Bombyx mori: one gene and its partners. The protein of the gene in region 3 binds, or shares a complex with, the protein of the main gene of each other region. Links are inferred from orthologs where the notes say so. Each region holds a gene or a part of one and is shown on either strand. Other genes may lie near its edges. The genes, in order: U4/U6 small nuclear ribonucleoprotein Prp4, U4/U6 small nuclear ribonucleoprotein Prp3, U6 snRNA-associated Sm-like protein LSm8, U6 snRNA-associated Sm-like protein LSm6, thioredoxin-like protein 4A, pre-mRNA-processing factor 6 and ubiquitin carboxyl-terminal hydrolase 39.

What was found.
Region 1: U6 snRNA-associated Sm-like protein LSm8 (region 3) and U4/U6 small nuclear ribonucleoprotein Prp4 share a complex: the UniProt entries of both Homo sapiens proteins name them as parts of the precatalytic spliceosome. The link is inferred for Bombyx mori from reciprocal best matches to the Homo sapiens genes LSM8 and PRPF4.
Region 2: U6 snRNA-associated Sm-like protein LSm8 (region 3) and U4/U6 small nuclear ribonucleoprotein Prp3 share a complex: the UniProt entries of both Homo sapiens proteins name them as parts of the precatalytic spliceosome. The link is inferred for Bombyx mori from reciprocal best matches to the Homo sapiens genes LSM8 and PRPF3.
Region 4: U6 snRNA-associated Sm-like protein LSm8 (region 3) and U6 snRNA-associated Sm-like protein LSm6 share a complex: the UniProt entries of both Homo sapiens proteins name them as parts of the precatalytic spliceosome. The link is inferred for Bombyx mori from reciprocal best matches to the Homo sapiens genes LSM8 and LSM6.
Region 5: U6 snRNA-associated Sm-like protein LSm8 (region 3) and thioredoxin-like protein 4A share a complex: the UniProt entries of both Homo sapiens proteins name them as parts of the precatalytic spliceosome. The link is inferred for Bombyx mori from reciprocal best matches to the Homo sapiens genes LSM8 and TXNL4A.
Region 6: U6 snRNA-associated Sm-like protein LSm8 (region 3) and pre-mRNA-processing factor 6 share a complex: the UniProt entries of both Homo sapiens proteins name them as parts of the U4/U6-U5 tri-snRNP complex. The link is inferred for Bombyx mori from reciprocal best matches to the Homo sapiens genes LSM8 and PRPF6.
Region 7: U6 snRNA-associated Sm-like protein LSm8 (region 3) and ubiquitin carboxyl-terminal hydrolase 39 share a complex: the UniProt entries of both Homo sapiens proteins name them as parts of the U4/U6-U5 tri-snRNP complex. The link is inferred for Bombyx mori from reciprocal best matches to the Homo sapiens genes LSM8 and USP39.

Annotation. Positions count from the first base shown.
Region 1 is NC_085130.1:18,540,135-18,543,634, forward strand, and holds part of U4/U6 small nuclear ribonucleoprotein Prp4, read right to left. Parts: intron 2,871-3,500; coding exon 2,712-2,870; intron 1,657-2,711; exon of another isoform or gene 1,028-1,656; coding exon 922-1,027; exon of another isoform or gene 425-921; coding exon 354-424; exon of another isoform or gene 1-353. UniProt on the Homo sapiens protein: Plays a role in pre-mRNA splicing as component of the U4/U6-U5 tri-snRNP complex that is involved in spliceosome assembly, and as component of the precatalytic spliceosome (spliceosome B complex).
Region 2 is NC_085130.1:18,559,803-18,563,302, reverse strand, and holds part of U4/U6 small nuclear ribonucleoprotein Prp3, read right to left. Parts: intron 1,457-3,500; coding exon 1,269-1,456; intron 858-1,268; coding exon 710-857; intron 61-709; coding exon 1-60. UniProt on the Homo sapiens protein: Plays a role in pre-mRNA splicing as component of the U4/U6-U5 tri-snRNP complex that is involved in spliceosome assembly, and as component of the precatalytic spliceosome (spliceosome B complex).
Region 3 is NC_085112.1:10,370,994-10,373,094, reverse strand, and holds U6 snRNA-associated Sm-like protein LSm8, read right to left. Parts: upstream 929-2,101; 5' UTR 820-928; coding exon 529-819; 3' UTR 501-528; downstream 1-500. UniProt on the Homo sapiens protein: Plays a role in pre-mRNA splicing as component of the U4/U6-U5 tri-snRNP complex that is involved in spliceosome assembly, and as component of the precatalytic spliceosome (spliceosome B complex).
Region 4 is NC_085134.1:2,613,326-2,617,605, reverse strand, and holds the start of U6 snRNA-associated Sm-like protein LSm6, read right to left. Parts: upstream 2,801-4,280; 5' UTR 163-2,800; coding exon 72-162; intron 1-71. Other genes in the region: GATA zinc finger domain-containing protein 1, read right to left, coding at 2,947-3,113, 3,611-3,797, 4,036-4,280. UniProt on the Homo sapiens protein: Plays a role in pre-mRNA splicing as component of the U4/U6-U5 tri-snRNP complex that is involved in spliceosome assembly, and as component of the precatalytic spliceosome (spliceosome B complex).
Region 5 is NC_085120.1:13,294,256-13,298,325, forward strand, and holds thioredoxin-like protein 4A, read right to left. Parts: upstream 2,801-4,070; 5' UTR 1,991-2,800; coding exon 1,913-1,990; intron 1,622-1,912; coding exon 1,485-1,621; intron 826-1,484; coding exon 612-825; 3' UTR 402-611; downstream 1-401. UniProt on the Homo sapiens protein: Plays a role in pre-mRNA splicing as component of the U5 snRNP and U4/U6-U5 tri-snRNP complexes that are involved in spliceosome assembly, and as component of the precatalytic spliceosome (spliceosome B complex).
Region 6 is NC_085109.1:9,946,673-9,950,172, reverse strand, and holds part of pre-mRNA-processing factor 6, read right to left. Parts: intron 2,403-3,500; coding exon 2,186-2,402; intron 1,321-2,185; coding exon 1,157-1,320; intron 532-1,156; coding exon 355-531; intron 1-354. UniProt on the Homo sapiens protein: Involved in pre-mRNA splicing as component of the U4/U6-U5 tri-snRNP complex, one of the building blocks of the spliceosome.
Region 7 is NC_085121.1:4,081,303-4,085,285, reverse strand, and holds the start of ubiquitin carboxyl-terminal hydrolase 39, read right to left. Parts: upstream 2,801-3,983; 5' UTR 2,679-2,800; coding exon 2,618-2,678; intron 2,538-2,617; coding exon 2,389-2,537; intron 2,153-2,388; coding exon 2,038-2,152; intron 1,292-2,037; coding exon 1,116-1,291; intron 893-1,115; coding exon 667-892; intron 504-666; coding exon 380-503; intron 281-379; coding exon 121-280; intron 1-120.

The DNA of each region.
Region 1 (3,500 bases), on a different chromosome or scaffold from region 3:
CCTAGGGGGATAAGATGGAGACAAAGAAGAAGAATTAGTTAACAATTAATACATTTTGCGTTTGCATTGATGCGTTTCCGATCCGGTGGTAGATTCTGCGAAGCACGGCTCTTGCTGGGGTTCGTGTTAGCAACGTCGTCAGGTTTGAGCTCCGTGAGCTCACCTACTAGTTTAAAAAAAAAAAAAAAATGCATGCCCGCTGAGTTTCTTGCCAGTTCTTCTCAAGACGGGGACTACTTTTTATGAATTGGCGGTAGATTTGATTTGATTAAAGTTACGCTGAAATAGCCTCTCAAGGCTATCTATCAGCTTAGGTAAAAAAAAAGAAGAAAAATATCGGCAAAGACCCTCACCAGCTCGAAGTGATCAGCATCTTGCTGTCCTGGCTGAACCTGCAGAAGCTCAGCGGCCTCGTGTCCCCGATCTGATGAAGAGCACCACAGATTTATGTGCTGAGCTGCCCCGCACGCTTAGGGCCGCCACGAGGTGGCCACGTGCTCAGGTTTGGAACGAGACAGCCCTGACACGAGAACCTTGTGACTGCGACATCACGTGGGCCTAGCCGGTAAAAACTAAGACGTTCCGTTTTTGCAGGATATCCGTTGCAGCACCATGGTTCCTAAGGAATGGCGGTAGGACCTCTTGTGAGTCCGCGCGGGTAGGTACCACCACCTTGCCTATTTCTGCCGTGAAGCAGTAATGCGTTTCGCTAATTTACTAGGATACGTAACATCACAGGGTCATAGTCGGCCATTTTGATCCTAGTTCTATATTACCCACCCCACTGGCCCCCACCACTGCAACTTCTGAGGGTCCACAGCGACGACCGTCCAACGAAGTGCGTTCACTTGGGAGGGAGACAGTGGGGGGGGGTGTAGCAGGAACTTAGGTACCCTCTATCCCCCACGACCTGGGCCTCACCTGGCTGCAGTAAATGCTAAAGGCAGACGCCTTCCGTTGCGACTCCTGCTTAGCGGCGGCGCGCACACTGCCAGCCAACTTGAGTTCCTCGCGGGCTTTGTTTAGCCTGTAACAATAATCGAGTAACTTACACGAGTCCATAGACATGTCGCGCCCCCCAGTGGTGGTGGATTTACACTAGGGGCGATCGGGGAAAGTGCCCAGGGTGGTAATTTTTGAAAGTGAAAAAAATTTTTTTTTCTTGTCGAGATTGCTCAATATAATTAATTAATAATTTTCTTTTTTATTGATAATTCAAGAAATTCAATTCACTCATGAATAGAATTATAACTTTGGCACTTTTGGTAAAAATTAATAATCAAAATTGATTTAATCAATTTATTTCCTTGAGATTTTTTAATAATAATCGATCTTCTATTTTCTGTAATTAAAGAAATTTAATTAGTTTTTTTTTTATGTAATATATTCTAAGGAAAGAAGACGGAAGTGGGCGTGGCCTGCTGACGTAATACAGCAGCGACTTCAGACTGGTCGGAGTTGAAGAGGGGAGTTGAGGACACCACTAACATATTGCCTCGTTCACGGCCTCTTTCTGATCTCAGCACCAGGGATAGACGGACGTTGTACATTCGCGTGTCAACTTAGTTACCCACATTTTGTCATTAGTATTTAAAATCAATAATTGTTGAAAATTGTATTTTGTATCGTTCTAATTATATTTTTTTAATATTTTGAGTCGTGATTTCTAATTATATTATTATTATTAGTCACCCTTTAGTGCAAAATTTAAGATTGTTAGAAAAAAAAACAAAAATATTTATTTACATTTTTGGAATATATGACATAAAATATGATAAAGTTTCTGCAATAAATTAGATATTTTAATTTTTTTAAATAAAATATATTAACTATAAGTTTAAGTAAAATTCCAGTATTAGGGCGGATTTTTTTTCCGATAACCAGGAGCGCGGCATTAAGTTTAAATCCGGCCCTGCGCACCCCCCATCATAATTTAAGACACCAGAATGAATCCACAATATTTCTATATATATCGAGTGGTGTAAGGCTCTTTAGTTTAAGAGACATTTATCTTTGTAATCAAAGGTCCGTTTTATATTTCGAATCAGCATCAACATTTCGATATTTTTAATTGAACTAGCGGTCACCCAGTAGTCGAAATTCGACTATAATTAATTGAATTTATAAGTTTGTATACTATTATGATTGTATTTTATACTTCTATAATCACAAATTTCGCCAAGACTACACTATAAAAAATATTAATAAAGACAAACAATATTTAATCTCAATTTGACAACAGACGTCAAGAACAAAAGTTTGACAATAAATAGTATGCATGCGTGTGTGCGTCAAATACATGGTATGTAGGGTATGTAATGTTTTCTTTTATGCAGTATTTAAAAAAAATATTAGCATTGTGCACTCCTTCTCTAAATTCTCTATAAGTGTGAGAAATTTCATGCTCCTCCATCCCCAAATTTTTCGTAAAAAGGGATACAAAGTTTTTGCTTCACGTATTAATATATAGATTAAGTTTACTCCATTCGAATAGCTGAAGAAGTTTGTTTTGTTAAAATATTATTTTGGCAAATTTTTAAAACTTTAAATAGATCTCCTGTAATATTGCAAAAATGTCGCCTGAACCAAACAGCCTTTTACCCTTCGTTACCTAACCTTAGAGGGGACAGCAAGGAGGTTCCGGAAGTAATGAAAATGATGACACAGCCAAGATATCACAGTCGGGTAGAGTCGAATTAATTGAAACTGACCTTTTTTTGGCGTTAGGCAGGGAGTACCTGGCTATCCAAATCCTCGCTTGCCTCAAGGTCGGGGGACCTTCGTGGTACCAGGTACCTTCTCTACCTCTGTCTCTTTCCAGGCGTGCTTCTTCCTCTTCTAGCTTCTTATTGATAGCATCTTCGCCGAGACTGAAAATAAAAATGAAATAATTAAATTCGTGTAATAAAAATAAAACCCGCAAAATTATAATTTGCGTAATTACTGGTGGTAGGACCTCTTGTGAGTCCGCGCGGGTAGGTACCACCGCCCTGCCTATTTCTGTCGTGAAGCAGTAAAGCGTTTCGGTTTGAAGGGCGGGGCAGCCGTTGTAACTATACTGAGACCTTAGAACTTATATCTCAAGGTGGGTGGCGACATTTACGTTGTGGATGTCTATGGGCTCCAGTAAACACTTAACACCAGGTGGGCTGTGAGCTCGTCCACCCATCTAAGCAATAAAAAAATATAAAGCCAAATGAAGACTAGAAAAGCTTTGTTAAATCTTTAAAATTCAACAATTAATTCATTTTTATATTTATCAATTTGTTTTAGTATTACACTTTATTACCAAATGCTGATCACCATGATATGGTGAATAGGAATTTATTCACAATTCAACATCAGGAAATTGCGTCTTTTTTGCTTGCGATCAGCAGAGACCTCCTGAGCACTAACCCAGCTGCCCCAGAAAACCAGTCAGTTGCTTCAGATTACCCATGACACCCCCATTATACCATTACAGTCCAGAAACTCCATTAGCAAATCGAGATAAACAAATT
Region 2 (3,500 bases), on a different chromosome or scaffold from region 3:
TCGATCGCCGTGGGGTCCTGCACCGCTTCGGTGCCTAAAGCTCGCATCAGATTCGAGATCCTGAAACATTTCATCTTACGATGCTTTCAGAGCCTTTTTTTCCTGCAGACTAGAGATGAAACGGATAGTGGTTTAGCCGGATACCGGGTACCGAATATTCGGCAAACTGCGAGGCCGGATATTCGGCCCTTTCGGAAATATTCGTGCGCGTTCGGGTGTTGTCGCACATAACGGAGATCACGACGACGATTTGGCATTCGTTCACCACAATTTGCCACTTGTCAGTTTTGAGTATTAAACAAACTAATTAATCACAATCACTTTTGACGTGCGATTATAAAAATAAAAGTTGTCCATAACCTATTGTGGTATTATTTGCCTTTTGTATAACCATGAGATTTTCTTAAATTTTACATTTTTTTTTATTGCCCTTGTAGGCAGACGAGCTTACGGCCCACCTGATGGTGAGTGGTTACCGTCGCCCATGGACTTCAGCAATGCCAGGGGCAGAGCCAAGCCGCTGCCTACCGCTTAATACGACCGAATATCCGAATATCCGAAATTCGGCCGGATACTGATTTACTATCCGGTATTAGGCCGGACAGTGAAAACATGGCCGGATAGGCCGGATACCGTATAGTTACGGATATCCGTTTCATCTCTACTGCAGACCCTACCTCTGTTAATGGTTCTACGAAGTGTCACGCACCTGAGCTTTGGTTCTGGTGGCGCTTCCAGTCCGAGTCTGACCTTCTCCTGCTCCTCCTTCCAAGCCTCCCGTCTGCTCTGGCGTCGCAGTTTCTTCCTCTCCTTCTTCGTCAGGAAGACCGGCATGAACGTCGGCTTGAGAGGTTCCGCTGCGAGGAAAAAGTCTTCTGTTGACTACCCTCCCGATCCACTAACGGTGCTTTTAGGTACCTCAAGCACCGGTCACCGTCCTCGTCGAAGCCGTCCTTGTGAGTCCGCGCGGGTAGGTACCACCTGCCTATTTCTGCCATGAAGCAGTAATGCGTTTCGGTTTGAAGGGCGGGGCAGCCGTTGTAACTATACTGAGACCTCATTTCTCAAGGTGGCGCATTTACATTATAGATGTCTATGGGCTCCGGTAACCACTCCACGTTGCTTCCCGAGCGCTATAACATGTCCTTCTTCAAACGAGGCTTGTGGCATTGCTGAAGTCCATGGGCAGCGGTAACCACTTATCATCAGGCGGGCTGTGTTCTCGTCCCCCTTTAGGCATCTAAAAACAAAAAAAAATATCGACTGACTGGGCGGCCTGAGCTGCTGCGGGTGCTCCACGAGGTTGGTGATGGCCTCCTCGTTGATGTTGTCCACTATGTCGTCCTCGCCCGTGTTGCAGGCGTCCACGCGCTGCTCGTCCGTGCGCCCATCAGCGCCGGCCCCGCGCCGCTTCGTCTCCCGCTCGTCCGCCGTCATCAGGATCACGCTGTCCCACCTGCCCCCGGGACGACGGTACCAATAGGGCCAGATCTCAAAAATGACAAGTGTCAAAATTGACAGGTGTCAAAAGTGACGAGTCTTCTTTTCGCATTAAAAGTGTACAATTTTGAAAACTATTCGAAATTGAGTTAATATGCGAAATCATTTGGTATCACCAGTATTTTTCTCATAAATACTGTCAAAAGAGCGTAGTTTAGTTTTATGAATTTTTTTATTATTATTTTATCTATGTTTTGACTATTAACAAAATTAGTACATCATTTTATCTTACTTTAAAAGACAGATAATGTAACTGGTAAAAAATAAAAAATAAATGTTGCTAAGATGATTATTATGATGAAAGTAGGGCTGCGTATTAATTTCTCAAAAACAAAAGAAATGCGCATAAATACCACCGATTCGGCTCCTATGTCGATCAAAGGGAGGCACATCGAGCAGGTGGGAAGCTTCTGTTACCTGGGCAGCATTGTGGACGATAGGGGAGGCACCGAGGCAGACATTGCGGCTCGTATAAATAAAGCCAGAGCCGCGTTTAGTCAACTTAGGCCAGTGTGGAGTTCCTCAACCTTAACAAGACGAACAAAGGTGAGGATCTTCAACTCAAATGTAAAGTCTGTATTGCTGTACGGGAGCGAAACTTGGTTTGTTCGCAAGGACTTGATCAAAAAACTTCAAGTGTTTGTGAATAAGTGCCTGCGTCAGATTTTGAAAATCTTTTGGCCTGAGAAGATCACTAACAAAGAGCTGTGGAGGATCACTAGGCAGACACCAGTGGAGAAGGAGATCCTTACGCGGAAGTGGCATTGGATTGGTCACACTCTGAGAAAGCCCGATACACACCTATCAAAGAGAGCACTGACCTGGAAAGTGTCTGGTAAAAGGAAGAGAGGCCGCCCCAGAACAACTTGGCGTCGCTCGGTGGAGCAGGAGCTAGGGGTCTTGGGCATGACGTGGGAGGAGCTAGAACAGACTGCCCAAGACCGATACAAATGGAAAAATTTGATTCGAGCCCTACACCCCAGCAGAGGGTAATAGGAAAGCATGATGATGATGAAGATGATTATTAATATTAAAAATACCACATGTTGAACCTTTAAAACACTCTCCTGTAAAATTAGTAAGTTTTGAGATTATACAGTTTTAATGCGAGAAGACGACGTGTCAAAAGTGACAGCTGTCACTGTAGCCGCCGCATATTGTACGCGCTCGTACCGCTCGCGATCGAAGCCAAGTAGCAGAACGTGCGCGCGAACTTAATGAAAAGCTCGGCGCTTGATTTGATTTTGGTTTTATTTTATTCAAAAGTCGTAAATTGATAATATTTATTTATATACATTTTTATATGTAAATATATATTTATGTATATGTATTTATTTAAGTACGGGTGTTTGTATCTATAAATATGATGTATGTTATATATACACATATGTTTAAGTAATATCACTATCACACCACACTCACCAAGGTTCATCTCAAGAATGGCATTAAGTCCGCCTTTATACTGTCTAGTATATAAAGTTATAAATAAATAAAATAAATAAAATAAATAATCGCATACACAAACAAACACACAAAGCGCAGTACCCACTCGTCTATGTATATTAATGTGGAGTTCGCTCAGAGTAGAATTGCGCAGTGTTTTTGGAAAAGTATCAAAATATATTCAGTAGATTGGGGGGAATCGGGCCGCTTTCCTATTCCAACACAAATTTTCAGCGGTTTCTCTCAAGGTAATACCAATAAAATTGAGATTAAAATGGTTCCGGATACTTAAATTTTCATATACGCCGCATTATTATATATAGTTCATTGAAAAATCTATACAAAACTTTAAAAACCAGCTTCACCTGATTCACTTTGGCTTTTGTGGTGAATCGGGTCACCTATGGAGACAATAGAGTTTTTCGATAGGGCTGGCACTGTTTAGTTGTTAGATAGGTACTACCCACCTTTAGGTAATTAATTTTTCAAATTCAATTACAAAACTTTGATAACGATATACCAGTGTGAACGTGTTATCTAAGCTCCTCCCTAGAATT
Region 3 (2,101 bases):
ATTATGCTTATTCTAAAACGGTTATTTATATGCCAGTTACTAGAGCACAAACACATTAAAAAAATTGTGTTGGTAACAGGCTAACTGAGCTGATTGTGATGAGACCCATTAGCAAATGAGAAATAAGGTTCTTTTAGTACCTATGAATATTTTTGATTCCTGTGAATATATTATACAGGGATTTAATGTATTTGAACCTTCATGTGTATTTTGTGAAAGAGTAAAACATATAACCCTTAATTTGGTAGTTTACAATAGGCATCATAAGTAACTTCCTAAGGATTATGTTCAAAGAAATGAACATATATCCAGGGTGTTGTCTATTCTAACAGGTATTACAGGGCATGCTATCACAAATCCTATTCAGAGAATGGAAAACCCAAGCCAGGGCTAAGATTAATTTTTATGGGTGAAAATATGTATTCTGCTTTGCGAATTAGTAAATCAAGACAAGAGACGAATACAAAATATGATATTTATTTGCCCAAATGAAACACCGATTGATAACAAAACATTTATTAACTAGTTCTAATGTACCATTGGTCCAAGTGGTTCTGCCTTGATGTTTCCGAGGTCTAATCTGCTATCAATTGACTCGTCTATTTGCCCGACTATTGCCACATTGTCTCCTCTGATTATGTGAAGTCCAAGTACTACTTGAGCGACGCCACTTGTGGAGGAAAACACTCTTTCGTGAGATTCGTCTAAAATAATATTTATTGTTTGGTCAAAGCCCTTAAGGGTGCCAATAAAATTACGTCCATCCGAAGTTATTACCGACACTGTTTGATTCACGTAATTTTCGAGTCCAGAAGCCATTCTAATTATTTTATTTATAAATTCAAATTAGTAATAATCAACATCAAACAACTATAAGAAATTTTCAAATTTCAGGGAGCTGCCACAGATTATTATTTGAAATGTGTACCTACACAGATTAGTATAATAGCTACTACAATTACTATTACTACCTACATGATTACTACATAATAAATAATAGTTTAAAAAAATAAAAAACACGCTTTATCTAAAATTCAACTAAAAAAATAGAAAATAAATTTTAATAAATTTAAATTGAATATAGTGTAAAATATATTTTATTGTAAAAAAAGCATGGGGTGCATGGTGTTATTAGTTATAAATATTTTTCTGACAGATATGAGTAGAAGAATTATTATTTCAATAATATCTTAAAAAGCACCCCACTCTTTTTTTTAAATAAAATATATTTTACACTATTTTCAATTTAAATTTATTAAAATTTATTTTAATTTTTTAGTTGAATTTTATATAAAGTGTCTTTTTTAGTTTTTTAAACTATTATGTATTTTAAATTTTCTTTAAAAGCGTATTTTTAAAACTATTAAGTACATTAACATCAATTCCTGCCTTATCGAGTATAGATAAAAATTATATAAATTGACCAAAATCTTATTTTATAAATTGAATAATGGAATAATCTTATCAAATTAGTATTTTTTTATCGGTCCTCGATAAATCTACAAAGTTTGAATGAATTCTGGCCGTTTAAAGTGGGTCAAAATCGCGTCTAAAGGAGTCAGTTGCAAACATACATACAAGTGAAGTTAATATAAAGCGTGTAAATTGGGTAGAAAAGATCTGACGGATCATATATTCACAAATTATTATGATACACCAGCAGCCAGGGAACCGGGGTAAATTACCTAAAATGAAATTTTGGGGCGTAAAAATGAAACTTTTGTGAGTAAAAAGTATATATTGAAGTGAAGCTTCTTTAGAATCGTTGTGATTTCAAATTCGATGAAACGAAATTAAACGAAACGAAAAATAAGTCCATAGAGACACAAACACATAAATATATAGGATTCAGCCGGCGAGAGAATGAGATAGAACACATTATTTGGAAACACAAAGTTCACGTGATTGACCCAGGTATTTTATTGTAGGCATCGTGTGAATTATAAAATAACAAGAAATTATCAATTACTTATATTCTCTGTGGGGGTGATTTTTTTTCCTCAACTGTATATTACAGATATTACTATTATTACCGTTATGTATTACTATGTATTACATTGATAAATTGAATAAATGATGCTTAAATTAAATTTTTAGTTTT
Region 4 (4,280 bases), on a different chromosome or scaffold from region 3:
TATGTGGTTCTTAAAAGACGAAGTGATTGTTATTACTAACTTAATAAATAAAATTTGAAAGGAAAACAAACCTCTATAGTCAACGCCGCTGTTTAATTTAACGACAACTGGGCGACCGTGAATCTGCTGTATAAACGAGGACAAAGCTTCCTTACGACTCATTTTTTGTGTTTATTTATTATTCTGATGAAATTGAAGACACGAAATACATTAAATGAAACTTAAAAATTTTCAAATTGGTCAAAGCGGGTGTTTTGATTACTTTTGATCTTTTTTTAAAGGTTTTTATGACTTGGTATCTAATACCTTTAGGTCGTCTTATTTTAATTTTAATGAATTTTTTAAAATGAAAAATTGTATTAATATTATGAAATGAAATGAAGTTGATTACTATGAAACATGGCATGAAATGAAATGTAATGAATTGAAATGAGATGTTATGAGATGAAAAATAATCTCAGTAAAATGGTGGTCATTTACTGAGACTTTTTCAGTGGACTTTTTGGAGGATGCCGAGAAGTTTGACATTCTATTTTCAAATCCAGTTATTTGTTTGTTGATTAGTGTTTTGTTTTCACTACATTTGTAATATAATGTATCTTACATCAATATGTACACGATAGAAAAGAGTGAATATGGAGAGTTCCGTCGCCGTGGCAATGCCGCAAAACGGCTCATATTATGTTTGGTATTTAAGAAATAATGTGTATGTACGGAAAGAACACTACAAAAGAACGCACGATTGGCCTGTACGGTTCAGCACAGAAGTTTTGATTTAAAACATTTTGCAGCTTTCAACGTTAGGATCAGAAGAATATTAGTTCATTTGGGTCAAGTTGGTGGGCAAAACTTGATATGTGGCACCCCCACACGAACTGAACGATCGTCACCCCATTAGGGTATCTTGAAGCATATTGTCATCTACGATGAATTATGTTGTTTATAATCATAAGCGGTCACATCAAGCTGGTCATTTGCGATGAAAAATGGATTATTGTTTATAATCATAAGCGGTCATCAAGCGGGTTGCAAACACACCCTGATTCAGAACTAGAGGCGACTTTACCTATGGTGCGAGGTGTGTGTGAGTTGCAGATGCGCGCTGCGGTTTTAGGGTGCACCGGCCTCTGCATTCTTAATGAATCAGTTAGATTTGTTCCTTTTTTTTTTTTTTTTTTTCGGGCCGGGGGCCGAACCTCCTACGAGGTCCCCGCGCCTAGGGGGCGCGCGGGGTATGTGAGACTCAGCGATCTGCAGGTGTTGAGAGCAGATCGCGGGCCCAAGGATTTTAGGGCCCACCCACCAAACGACTCCCCTGCACTCTTACACCCGACGTCCGATCTCCGTCCGGGGTCAGAACCCGTTCAGTGTAGGGGGGTTCCCGCGGTCAACACTACAACCAGACACGCGGCGCCACCCCGAGGACGCCCGACCGACGGGTCGTCGAGGCGATAGTCGACGACCAACGACGTCGGTCTCCGCGGTACGGCGGCCCTACCAGGCCGCCCGGGTGGTGCCGCTGGTGTTCCGGGATACCCCGCTGGGCCAGAACCAGCCTGCCGGGTCGGAACGCGATACACCGCCGACCGGGTTGCTCTTCAACAGTATGTTCGGCGACGACAGCGACGACGAAAATGCGGACCGCATCGCAGTCCGCAGCCGCCGACGCGCCGTCCCGTCCTCCTGGTGCAGTTAGATTTGTTCCTAGTCCAACTTGATTGCACGCTTACTAGAGGGCGCTAGAATAATTATTGCACTCGGACATTACATGGACTAGAGGTTCAGTACAAAGGCAATGCCTCAAATGAAAATCTATCTCTAAATATGTCATGTTCACTGTTTAGTGGCTTTGTTCTGGTATAATTCATCACAGCTTCCTACCAAATAGCATCATTACTACAGATGTGTATGGTGAGGAACAGGATACAATGATGAAGAAGCTTTTGTATCTCCAGCCTGCCCTTCTTAATCGCTTGTCCACACTTCTCCTATATGACAACGCTCAACCTCATATGGTACAATCGACCGTCTTTAAGCTACAAGAGGTATGGATGGAAGTTTTTGCATCCACCATACACACAAGTTGTTGCGCCAACAGACTTACTATTATCCTTTTTCCAAAGTTTGAACAACTTCTTGGTAGGGTAAAAATGCAATACCCAAGAGGTTAACTGAAAATAATTGGGCTTCCATACGCTCCACTTCTTCAAGGGCATTGAAAGATAGGCAAAAAAATATCAGTGATCTAGGGAAACAGCATAGTTACTACTTACTACTATGAATACTTATACCAAATTTTCTGGAGGAAAAAAAATGTTGGTTGGTTTGAATGATTAAAGTGAATGATGTGTGTTATTGAATGATTGATAACTGTCCACTTCGATAAAGCGGCACGACACGAGAACCCTCTCATCGTGGCCGCTGGTAACTACATTCCCGATCCTGCGGACAGAATGGAAAGCAGTCGACGTCGCCCAAAACACGTCATCTCGGATCCTCCTGATCCACTAACGGTGCTTTTAGGTACTTAAAGCACCGGTCACCGTTCTCGTCGAACCCGTCGCTTGCGACGAAGGGCTCGACGAGTAAATTAACTCTCAGACACAGCCCACTGAGTTTCTCGCCGGATCTTCTCAGTGGGTCGCGTTTCCGATCCGGTGGTAGATTCTGCGAAGCACGGCTCTTGCTAGGGTTCGTGTTAGCAACATCGTCAGGTTTGAGCCCCGTGAGCTCACCTACTAAAGTTAGGGTTACGCTGACAGCCGCTAGGGCTATCAGCTTAGGTAGGGAAAAAAAAAAAAAAAATTATAACTGTGAATGATATCGAAATTCAAATTGTGCTCTAAATTTAAATAAATGTTAACTACGGGGTATATGGGGTAATAAAACTAAACATAAACAGTATTTTTTTGTAACAAAATGTTCACTTTGCTTAAATATAAAAGTCTACGTTCTCTCTTTAGCTTCCATCGAAGTCCATACAAAACCAGTATAATTATTCAGTTCATTATCAGTCAGTGGGTATGGACTGTTGCTCGCTTTGTAGTAATCAGATGGAGCATGCATCACAAATTCCATGTATTCCAGTTTCCGAGGCAGCTCTTCTTCAGGGCCTGAAAATTTACAGCAATATTAACCTTAACTGTCACATTTTTTATATACACTATTCTTTTTTTTGCTATATGGCAGTTGAGTTTTCGTGATGCTATTGTTGCCAGTATTGAGTTAGTAAAAATCATATTTACAAAATAAAAATAAAAAATTAAGCTGAATTTAATTAAGTTGGTTTATTTCATTATATTCATTATATTGGGATGAAATTACATGATATAGATTGAAACAAGACGAGAGGAAGTGAAATCAAACAATGCAGGCTTTTTAGAAATGCCGTGTCAAGCGACTTATTTCGTTTTCTGCTATTCACGAGCTTTGATCGAATACACATTTAATGAGTCACTATTATTACAAGTGGAAAATCTAAAGCACTAAATTTACAAAATGAAAAAAATCACCCAAAATGCCTTAGATATTGAATAAATACTTTAATCACCTACTTCTGCCTGTTGCAAATATCTGTATTTCTAATTAAAATATTATTAAAAGCTCATACCAATGATATATGTAGCAGGATCAAAACATTTCTCTGGAGGTGGGCTCGCTTTTGTAGGTAATAACCAAGTAACAGCTGCACTCTTCTCACAGTACTCATCAGTTAGGAAGCCTCTAATTTGGGCATAGTATGTGCCACCATCAATGTCAGTCATCGAAACAATATCACCAACTTGCATGTACATACCCTGAAAAAATTACCACAGACTATTCAAAGCAGAACCGAGGTAATTTTTCAAGTTTTCATGTTTACTGTGAATAATAAGTTAGGGTTTTTTAAATTAAATTAATCTCTAATCAGTTTTTAAACTATAATTAGTATGCGATATAGCCTCAAGATTATTGAAAAATAAAAAAAAAGGTATATTTCTACAGCTGTTGTATATCTAACTACAGATTTTAATTGGATTAAATAATTGAACAGACCTGATAAAATACTGAATCACTTGTAACAACAGTCGCTGTAGCTGTTGGTGCTTTCAATGGCTGCCTTTTGAATAGACTCCTGCGTCCTCTGCCCCGCGGCGCCGGCTGCTTCAATGGCGGTGGAGCAGGTGTTTTAGGTTTGTATCTCGTTGATCTAGTGCTTTTCCTAGTGCCCTTGCCGGTAGCTTTAGCCGGCGTAGACTCCTCATTTTTACCATTATCTTTGTCTTCCTTAATGTCTTCAC
Region 5 (4,070 bases), on a different chromosome or scaffold from region 3:
GAGGATCCGAAATGACGTGTTTAGGGCTTCTCGTCCCTCTTGGCCTTGGCACGACCGTTTATCGGTCTTTTACTGGTATTTTACTGGTGGTAGGACCTCTTGTGAGTCCGCACGGGTAGGTACTACCGCCCCGCCTATTTCTGCCGTGAAGCAGTAATGCGTTTCGGTTTGAAGGGTGGGGCAGGCGTTGTGACTATACTGAGACCTTAGAACTATATCTCAAGGTGTGTGGCGCATTTACGTCGTAGATGTCTATGACCTCCAGTAACCACTTAACACCAGGTGGGCTGTGAGCTCGTCCACACATCTAAGCAATAAAAAATAAAAATAAAGTATTTTTGATAATGGTTTTTTTTTTTTTCAATGATGAAGATATTGCAACACAAAAAAAAGGATCTACATCAGCATAAAACTTGTCATTTATTCTACTTTTACTTTGTTTAATATCAGGAAGAACAGCATAATTCCAAAAACACATGAGTTATAATGTAATATGTATAGTTCTTATTTTTATATAAAAAAAGTTACATTACTAAATTTATGATGACTATGATGTCAGATATGATTACAAATTACTAGACCATTCAGGTGGAACATTATTTTAAATTAAACTAATATCTGTATTTGGTAGAGTAATCTTTCGGTGAGACAACAAGACCTCGTCCTTTTCTTGCCCCTCTGTACACAGTTTCAATAATATCAATCATCTCCTGCTTGTCTTCGAGAGGCCAGTTGATTTTATTGTTGTTGCCAGTCCCCAAGTCAATCATTATGTGTTTGTTGCGGAAGAAGAACATCACTGTGCATGGATCGTATAATTCATACCTAGAAATAAGTTTAAATAATATTATTATAGGCCTTGCTTAGTCATTTTATATACTAGACCCTTTCTACTAGACTAGAACTTTCAACCTTTTTTACTTAATGATGTATTAACATACTCTATATATACATGACACCCTTAAATGCAAAGATTTATAGTTGGGAGTGATGGTTGTTGGTATTTACATCACTCATATGTAATACTGTTGTATGGTTAATATTTAATAAACAATTGTATATTTAACCAACATGTATCCCTGAGATGCAATTTCCCAGATCACCTTAAATAAAAATTGAAATATCGTATTTCTAATTTTCACAACACACTTGACTTGCAACATTCCAGTGATCAAGAACTGCTGTTCTACTCTAGTCTTAAAATCAACAATTTGAAAAAAATTATTAACAATGTAGATAATGAAATTCATTTACTGTATGAACCAGACTTATTAAGAATTCCTAGAAAACTCATAGTTCTTTGCTTCTTCACTTATGATACTTTTTTAATAATTAATAAAACAACAAATTTAATAATACAACATAATTTCCTTAAAACACTGGAGGTAGGAGGACTTGTGTATTCCACAAAGGTTTTAAGAAAACCTATCAAAATCTTAATTTCAGAAATAAATTTAGAACAAGTAGTTTTACGGTATACTTACATTTTATTAAAATCTGGAACTTCTGTAATGTCAACTAAATATATGACAGCAAAATTTTTTACTTTTTCCGCAATGCTGTATAATACTTCATCCATTTTCATACATGTTGGGTCCCAGTCGTGTCCAAACCTTATAACCTAGATATGTAAATTAGAATTAATTACATTTAATATAGTTGAATCATAGGGCAAGACAATTAGGCCACTAATTAAATAACTATTAACTGTTTTGGCTCAAAGCATTTTGTTAGTTCCTTTAATTCAAAATCTATTGTTTTTTATACTAGAAGGTTGAAGGTCTTGGTTTCTACTGCATTTATATACTTTAACAAATACCTATTGATGTAAGGTTAGAATATAATTATTATTTTTAGTCTTCAGATACTAAATCTCAGATTTCTACATTCTATGAATCTAGTTAAAACTCACCACTACACGGTCTTCTTCTGATAGAATGGCCTGATCTACTTGCCAACCATTGTGTAGATGTCCTAGCATATAACTCATTTTGCAAATAAACTACTTTACGTATTATTTCAAACAAACGATTATTCCTGTATTCTTTTTTCTGGAAATTGCTATTGCTATGAGCAAAATATAATCGTGTTGTAGGACCACTGAACAAATATTGATATTATTTTGCTCACTGAAATTTGCCTTTCACATCTAAGACATTCCAAAGTTATTTTATTCTCACATTTTGTTTCTCGTCACTGTTCACGTTTTCTATAGAAGTGTGTTCAAAAAGTTTAGAGCAGGCGTTGTCTTTTTTGTTACTTCATAACAAAAAGAATGTTCTGTGAAATAGAGAACTTTAAATTTATAATTATTTAATAATATGTAGGTATTAAGATATGACTATTCTATGAGTAAATTTACAAACACTGACTTTTACCAGGTCATAAAATACCTTAAAAAAAATCACAGACCACAGTATGACGTATGACAGTAGCAGTTCCATTTTCCAACAAGAAAGGCGGAGGTATCAGTCCATACAGCGTAATCTTTCATGGAATTATTCTGTTATTTATATCAATTTAATATGAAGTTAATAATGATATGGATGAAATGAGGTGAAGTTTATTTATTTGAGGCTTTAATGTTAATCATATATTTTATCGTTACAACTCTTATAGGTACAACAAGGTATTTAAATTAAATTATATAGGTATAGGATATAGGTTATAGGATTTAAATTAAATAAAATTAATAATTTTGTGCAGCGACCGGCGCGGCGCGTGCGCGTTATTCAATTTTTCTTTATCGACCCTCCGTATTTTTACGAATCCTGCGAGGCGTCGCGGCGTCGGTCGCACGGCGTTGTTCGACACTTTAGGGTTCCGCTTAGCGTGCGGGTGTTGTAACGTAATGTTACAACTGAAATCGTCTGCAAAATAAAAAAAGAAAATAAAAAAAACCTTAAAACAAAAGTATTTATGTTCAAAGCAGTTATTTTATCGATTGTACCGCTGAGGTGACAACAATAGTTCCCACCTCCCCCCGAGACGTAGGTTCGGCTGGCGCAGACACTGCGCAGCCGCTGCGCCGGCAGTCGTCACTAGAATCGACATCAACCCCACGAAAAGCACAGCGGTGCTCTTCAAAAGGGGTCGCCCTCCGAACACCACGCTGAGCATCCCCCTCCCGACTAGGCGCGTCAACACCTCCGCCCCCGCCATTCGCCCAATCACGATGTTCGACCAGCCCATACCGTGGGCCCCGAAGGTCAAATATTTAGGCGTCACCCTCGACAGTAGGATGACATTCCGCCCTCACATCAAGACGGTACGCGACCGTGCCGCCTTCATTCTAGGACGTCTCTACCCGATGATATGTAGGCGAAGTAAAATGTCCCTTAGAAATAAGGTGACACTCTACAAAATTTGCATACGCCCCGTCATGACCTATGCAAGTGTAGTGTTCGCTCACGCGGCCCGCACTCACTTAAAATCGTTCCACATTATTCAATCCCGTTTTTGCAGGATAGCCGTCGGAGCCCCGTGGTTCGTCAGGAACGTCGACCTCCATGACGACCTGGACTTAGAGTCCATCAGTAAGTATCTACAGTCGGCGTCGATGCGCCACTTCGATAAAGCGGCACGACACGAGAACCCTCTCATCGTGGCCGCCGGTAACTACATTCCCGATCCTGCGGACAGAATGGAAAGCAGTCGACGTCGCCCAAAACACGTCATCTCGGATCCTCCCGATCCACTAACGGTGCTTCTAGGTACTTCAAGTACCGGTCACCGTTCTCGTCGAACCCGTCGCTTGCGACGAAGGGCTCGACGAGTAAATTAACTCTCAGACACAGCCCACTGAGTTTCTCGCCGGATCTTCTCAGTGGGTCGCGTTTCCGATCCGGTGGTAGATTCTGCGAAGCACGGGTCTTGCTAGGGTTCGTGTTAGCAACGTCATCAGGTTTGAGCCCCGCGAGCTCAACTACAAAAGTTAGGGTTACGCTGAAATAGCCTCTCAAGGCTCTCAGCGTAGGTAGAAAAAAAAAGTGTGTGTGTCCGCTCCGACGCACGACTGGAGTTTACTGGATATAAATATAAATTTGTGTCAGTTGAATACAGTAAAATAT
Region 6 (3,500 bases), on a different chromosome or scaffold from region 3:
TTCTTCAGTTATTTGAATGGAGTGAACTTATTTTTATTTATTTATTTTTTATTGCTTAGATGGGTGGACGAGCTCACAGTTCACTTGATGTTAAGTGGTTACTGGAGCCCATCTACATCTACAACGTATATGCGCCACCCACCTTCAGATATAAGTTCTAAGGTCTAATATAGTTACAACGGCTGCCCCACCCTTCAAACCGAAATGCATTAACGCCGTGCGGACTCACAAGATGTTCTACCACCAGTAAAGTTAGAAGTCCAATTAAAACATCGCATTATTGGTGCTAATACAAGTTCAATCATAACAAAAAAAGATTATTTAGATTATAGATATTAAAGATTATATACGCACCCCTTGACTATATGTGTTGTGAGCGTCTTCGTCCTTGGCCATTTGTTCCTCAATCTGTCCCTTCATCATGTGAAGCTTTGCGTAGTCCCCGAACACTTTGATCGCTTCGTCCAGTAACTTTATGGCTACGTCCAGATTGTTCAATGCCCATTCTAGTTTCGCTGATTTGATCATCACCTAAAAAAGTAAATAAATAGAAATCGTTTTTTTATTTATTGCTTCGACGTGTAGACGAGCTTATTCTATATCAGTTTTTATAGTACATCCATTGCCTCATTCTTCAAACCGAAACGCGTTACTGTTTAACGGCAGAAATAGACAGGGAGGCGGTAATTCCTCGTGTAGCCTCACAAGAACCCCTTTAAGTAAATGTTTTTAAATAAACATCTTCAGAAATGTTTCCGTCATTCATCAAATGTAACAAACAAAATAAAGCATTAAAATCGGTTCTTACACCGAAAAAATTGACGTCAAAAGACATTAAGCTATAACTCTTGTGAAATAAGAGCTAAACGCCACTAGTCGGTCGGGGGGAGGGGGACCTATGACCTCCCTAGAGTGGGTCTCATAATTGCAGAGTACGAACAGACGAATCTTACAATATTAATGTTGATTTAACTTACACCAGCCCACTGAGTTTCTCGCCGGATCCTCTCAGTGGCAGATTCTGGGAAGCACTGCTCTTGCTAGGGCCAGTGTTAGCAACACCTCCGGTTTGAGCCCCGAGAGCTCACCTACACGCTAGGATAAAGCTGAGATAGCCTCTCAAGGCTATCAGCATAGGTAGGAAAAAAAAACTTACTCTCGGTGTGGGAGCTGAAGCCCTAGCTTTAGCCAGCAGCCGTCTCGCTCTGTCGTACTCTTTGTTCTCGCTCTCCAGTTTGACGGCGGCCAACCAGATCTCTTCAGAGTTGGGATTGGCCTGGAAGGCCAGCGACAGGATACCCCGAGCCGCCGGTACGTCGCCTAAACGAAACATTAATGATTGGTTTATTCAAATAGACCCAATCGGTGGTGCTGTGGTTAGCGACCCGAACTGCTGAGGGTGTTGGTGACGATTTCAGCATTGGGTCAGCTCTCGCGTTATAAACAAGTTTGTATGCTCTATATTTGGGTCTTTAATATCTATATATTATGTATAGTAGACTATATGTACTTATTGTCATATTCGAATTTTGAGAAAATTTACTACGACGGTAACAACCATCGTAGGGGACCGCACGCCAGCAATAAATAAATCAAATTGAACTGAAAAATAATTCGAAAGTCGTGTCATCTACAGCACTTCATTTTGTGTGAGTGCTCTCAAAATCTATAAACGTATCAAACTGCCCTTACAGAGCCGACGGGCAGAGAGATGGGCAACATTCGTCTTTACGTTTTTATTGCTTAGGTCGGTGGACGAGCTCACAGCCCACCTGGTGTTAAGTGTGGTTACTGGAGCCCTTAGACATCTACAACGGAAACGCCACCACCAACCTTGAGATTTGATTTCTAAGGTCTCAGTATAGTTAGTTACAACGGCTGCCCCACCCTGCAAACCGAAACGCGTTACTGCTTCACGGCAGAAATAGGCAGGGTGGTGGTACCTACCCGTGCGGACTTACAAGAGGTCCTACCATCAGTAATTACACGATATTATTTCTTCACCGTGCAAGTCAATCGTGAAGATTTCTGAAGTACGTCTTTCATTGAAAAATTGGTACCCGCCAGCGGGATTTGAACACCGGTGCATCGCTACATACGAATGCACCGGACGTCGACTTTAAGCCACGTCGACTTCTAACGTGTTACTGGAACGGAACGAACGGATCGATAAATCGTCCCTGACCTGCGAGCCACTTGGACTTGGCGCCCATGAGCCACAGCACCTCCGACTTGGGGCAGTGCGCGACGGCCCGCTGCAGCAGCGTCTCGAGGCTGGCGCGAGTCCCGTGCTGCTTCTCCAGGTAGGCGGCGCGAAGCCAGATGGACTTCTTGGACGGGAACACGGACAGCGCGTACCCGTACACGGCGCGGGCGCACTCGAACGCACCCTCAGTGGCGCACTACACAAACAATAACACTTATTAAACACATTACTGTAGGCGCGCGAGTTCATGTGCATCCTGAGGAATGCGGTAGTGCTGTGACCTAGTTAATTATGGTAATGTCGATAATAACTACCGATTTAGTCAACAGCTGTCAATTTGGTTAAATGTAACTTAAGGTAATTTTGCAATTTATGAAATAAAATAAATGTGATAACTAATTACTTGTTTATTTCTAATAGAGAAAAATATTCTTTAAATTTCAATTTAATCACTATCAAATGAAAAGACAACCGACAGATCAGAGTCGGAGTCAGTATGTATCTTTTTTCAGTAGGTTTTTTTCTATCTGAACTTGTTGGAAGCGGAGTAGTTATGGTTAAATGACATAATAGCGTTAGTTTAAATTATGACATCGATAAGCTCGCGTCACAACCGTCAGAACAACACTCGACGTCAGACAAACGCGGGGAGGCGGGCGAAGGTGGGGCGAGCTGTCCCCCGCGCATCGCCTCTGGCCCCGATGGACATGAACTCGCGCGCATACAGTAGTAGTTTTCCAATTACAGAGCACAATGCGACTCAGTGGCACACAATGCCGAATTATGCTGAAGCTTAATTGGAACGTGAATTAGTTTTCAAATGCATCAGCAGAGTGCGCTAAGTTCATGATGATCATTGCAATGTTTACAAAAGTATATACCTGTAAAATTAATTTGTTTACAGATTCGAATTCTAAAATGAAATTGTATTCACATTTTAAATGTGGTATATAAAAAAAAAGTAATTATTTGTACCTTCATCCATACTTATATTATTATTTTTTAGCACAGTTTGAATTAACTTTGATTATTTCCAACGAAACTACGACGAAACGAAAGCCTTACAAATTTTTTCAACAATAAAGGTTTACTGAGGTCTGTCACTGAGTTGGCATCGATTGCTTTTTTTTTTTTCCTACCTAAGCTGATAGTCTTTAGAGGCTATTTCAGCGTAACCGTGGCTAGTAGGTGAGCTCACGGGGCTCAAACCTGATGACGTTGCTAACACGAACCCTAGCAAGAGCCGTGCTTCGCAGAATCTACCACCGGATCGGAAACGCGACCCACTGAGAAG
Region 7 (3,983 bases), on a different chromosome or scaffold from region 3:
TTTTTGTTTTAAATCCTATTTAAGTGGATGTGAATTGATATAAAAAAACCAGTCTTAATAAAAAAATAAAAAAGTTAGTGAATACAATTTTTAAATTGCAACAATACTAGGTATTTTCACCTGTGGAATAATATTTTCGCGGAACTCATCAGTGAACAATGGCGTTGGAGGCAAATCACATGTGAGGTACAAAAATGGAGACTCAGTGATCATTTCATTGTACTCTTCACTGCTAAGATCGACTTTAGCTGCATCATCAGCATCCGGCGGTGGCAACTTTCTGAAAATTTCAGTCTGTTCAGAAATTTTTGACTGCATATAATGATAGATTAAATGTTAATTATTTTGAACTTTAAAAAATCAGATGCTTAAATCTTACCTTGTATAGATCCTCATGTGACCCAGAAATGACTTATAAATTATGGAGCTATTTGGCTTCTTTGTACCATTCAGTGCCATGTGTAATGAATTTAGAAACCAAGACAGAAAGTCTATTGGATCACCTGAGCAAAAATTTATTTATTTATAAATTTTTATTATTATTATAAAACAATATATAATTAAAATATAAAACTGATCAATCAATATTCATACTTTTTAGCATAATATACAGAAATTACACTAAGAAAGCATGTTCGTATATCCAAAAAACTACTAAAATCTTACTCTGCTTAATAAACTGATATCGCTTCTTAGACCACAGCACAACAGCCTGCAACATCTCGTGAGGAGATACATGTGCTTTAAAAGCACGGGGGTTCCATAGTTTGCGTAATAATTCACCAAATCTTTGTACAAGTAAAAAAGACGAGTCCCCTGGTGGTCTTTTTACACTAGCATAGTTCTCTTCTCTCAAAAAGTAGTTACGTAGGGGACGTACTTGTGACAAACACTAAAATCATAAAATGAATTTAGTATAAAACTGTGACAATATTAAGACTTTGTAGCACTGTGTAATTATTCACTACAAATATACATAATGGTTAAAACAGAATCAGTTTGACTGTAACGCATCTACTTTCACAGATCGCCGGCAACAAAAATATAAGTCGCATTTATCATACAATAAAAACAGTACATATCATAAAATGTATTTAATAAAAACATATACTGACCTGCAAAATTACATTACAGTAATCATTGGCCTTGATATTATTAAGGCCTACAATGCCAGGCATATACATTGTGCCATCAATGGCTCGTGACATCTTTGTGTTAGTATCTATAAGCTTGATCTGTTCAGGTGTGAATGTTGGGTTCAAAACATATTTGATGTCATTCAATGAAGAGTCTAAAATGTGAAATTGTCTTTTTTTATGACTGTGATAGGTAGATTAGCTCCCGGCTCATCTGATGCTATGTGATTACCCGCATCCCTATAACAGGAGTTCTAAGTCTCAGTTTTACAGTACAACAGTAGCTGTCCCCTTCACCAATGCACATTATTGCTTCACGGCAGAAATAGGCAGAGTGGTGGTACTTACAAATGCAAGCTCTTAAGTCACCCTTAGAACAAATTATAATTTATGCAAGTTTATTATAATCACAAGATGGATTTGATACATTCCTTCACCAACGAAGTGTTAAATACATATTAAAAAAATTGGTACCTGCCAACAGAATTCAAACACCACCACAGTTGCACTGCCCAATACAAATGCACTGGGTGTCTTGTCCATTAGACTATTACAAGTTTTAAAGCTTTACTGTACTTCTAGTCATTGATACCTAAATTTAAGCTTAAAAGTATTTTACTTGATTCCATTTTGGTGTATAAAATTTTAAAAATCAGTCAAATTTTCCTTATTATTAATTTACTTACAAAAATAAAGTCTAACAATTTATTTTAAGTTATCGCATGTGTTAACAACTGTAAAATGCACCAATTCTTAATCATAATATTTTATAAATATTTTCAATGCACAAAATCATCAATTGACCGAATTCATTTATATCTTATTATTATTTTATTTATAATTAATTTATATCTAACATAAAAGCTATTTTAGCTAACCAAGTTAAAAATATGTAATTTACCAATAACTTCATAATTGTCAGGAAGACAATAGAACTTTAATGTGTTAAGATTCAAAAATACATGGTGTCCATCAGCCACTGAATGTGTGTAGGCATGAGTGTTGGTGCCTCTTCCCTGGAAAGTAGATAGATTTTAATGATTTTTTCGCAAGTGATTAATTCAAATTTATGCCTAAGTCAACATAAATAACCTATCTTACATATCACTACAGCAAAGAACTGGAATGAAATGCCAGGAACAACACTGGCGCTCATAAAAATCGTCATCATGAAAACAAGTAACTTGCCTGTAAAAAAAAGTTCAAGCCTCTAATCACCAAAGCCATGACAATTGCATAAATATTTTGTTACCTGAAAATATTTACCGCACACTAAGCAAGCGTAAACATTGATTCTAGTCAATGAAACCGAGCACAATTTCTCAAAGTCAAAATCTAAAACATGCCGATTGATAGTATCCAGGTAAGGACATTGAATTTGTTGAGTTTTCGAATATCGTCCTGAAAATATAATAATACTTTGATTACAAATAGCAGTAGAGTGCAGAATCATAGAAGGTTAGAATTGCATTATCAAGTACCTTGTTTGTCAGTCCCATTTTCATCAGTTATTTTGCGTTTTCTAGATTGTTCTTCAGTCATTTTATTACTATCATAGACTTTAGACAATGTAGTTAAATGAAGAATCTGAAATCTAAATGTAAAATGTAAATATTAATCGTTAAATGAACTTTTTATGGGATTTTATGATACGGTAACTAAGACCTTTAGGTCAGGTCTTAATTAAATTTATATTCTTATTTTTATGAAAAATGGTAATACGAAGTGGTATGAAATGAAATGAGATAATATAGTATGAAATATGAAGTCGTCGTGGCCTAAAGGATAAGACGTCCGGTGCATTCGTGTTGAGCAATGCACCGATGTTCGAATCTCAGGTGGGTACCAATTTTTCTATTGAAATACATAACAAATGTTAACGATTGACTTCCACGGTGAAGGCATAACATCGTGTAATAAAAATCAAACCCGCAAAATTATAATTTGCGTAATTACTGGTGGAAGGACCTCTTGTGAATCCGCGTGGGTAGGTACCACCACCCTGCCTATTTGTGCCGTGAAGCAGTAATGCGTTTCGGTTTGAAGGGTGGGACAGCCATTGTAACTATACTTGAGACCTTATCCATCCTCCAAAAAGTTCACTAAAAAGTATCAGTAAATGACCACTATCATAGTGAGATTATATTTTATACCATATCATCTCATCTCATTTCACTTCATATTATCATTTTTCATAAAAATAAGAATATAAATTTTATTAAGAGTTGACCTAAAGATCTTAGTTACCGTGTCATAAAATCCATTAAAAAATATTTTAGTAGGAGTATGTGTTCTATTTTCGAACTGGAAAGGCAAAAGTATGATACCATACAGCCTAATCTTTCATATTTTTTTGCTTATGATAAATGATTATATGAAATGAAATGAAGTTGATTAATTTGGAACAATAATCAATTGGCATGAAATGAAACGTAATGAGATGAGATGAAATATAGTCTCAGTAAAATGGGAATTATTTTCTGAGACTTTTTCAATGGACTTTTAAAAAGATCCCGAGAAGCTACATTTAACGGCTTTGTTGCATATTCATACATTTGTGCACTTTCAAAGGTATTATACAGTCAATTAACCACCATTATTACGCATTTTAATCTGAAAAGACACTACATAAATTAAATAAAACAATTGACACTGCTACGCTCATAGATTAATATTTGAAAGCTTCGCTCCTCGAATTTCCGCCAAAAAGTTATTATTTTGCCAATATTGTAATTATAGAGTAACTTGGCAATTTTTGGTAATATTTAGGCCTTGTCCGCACAGCGATATTTCACCGCGCGATTTTTTTCTCGTAATTCTGTAACACATTTAATATTATAGAAGTAT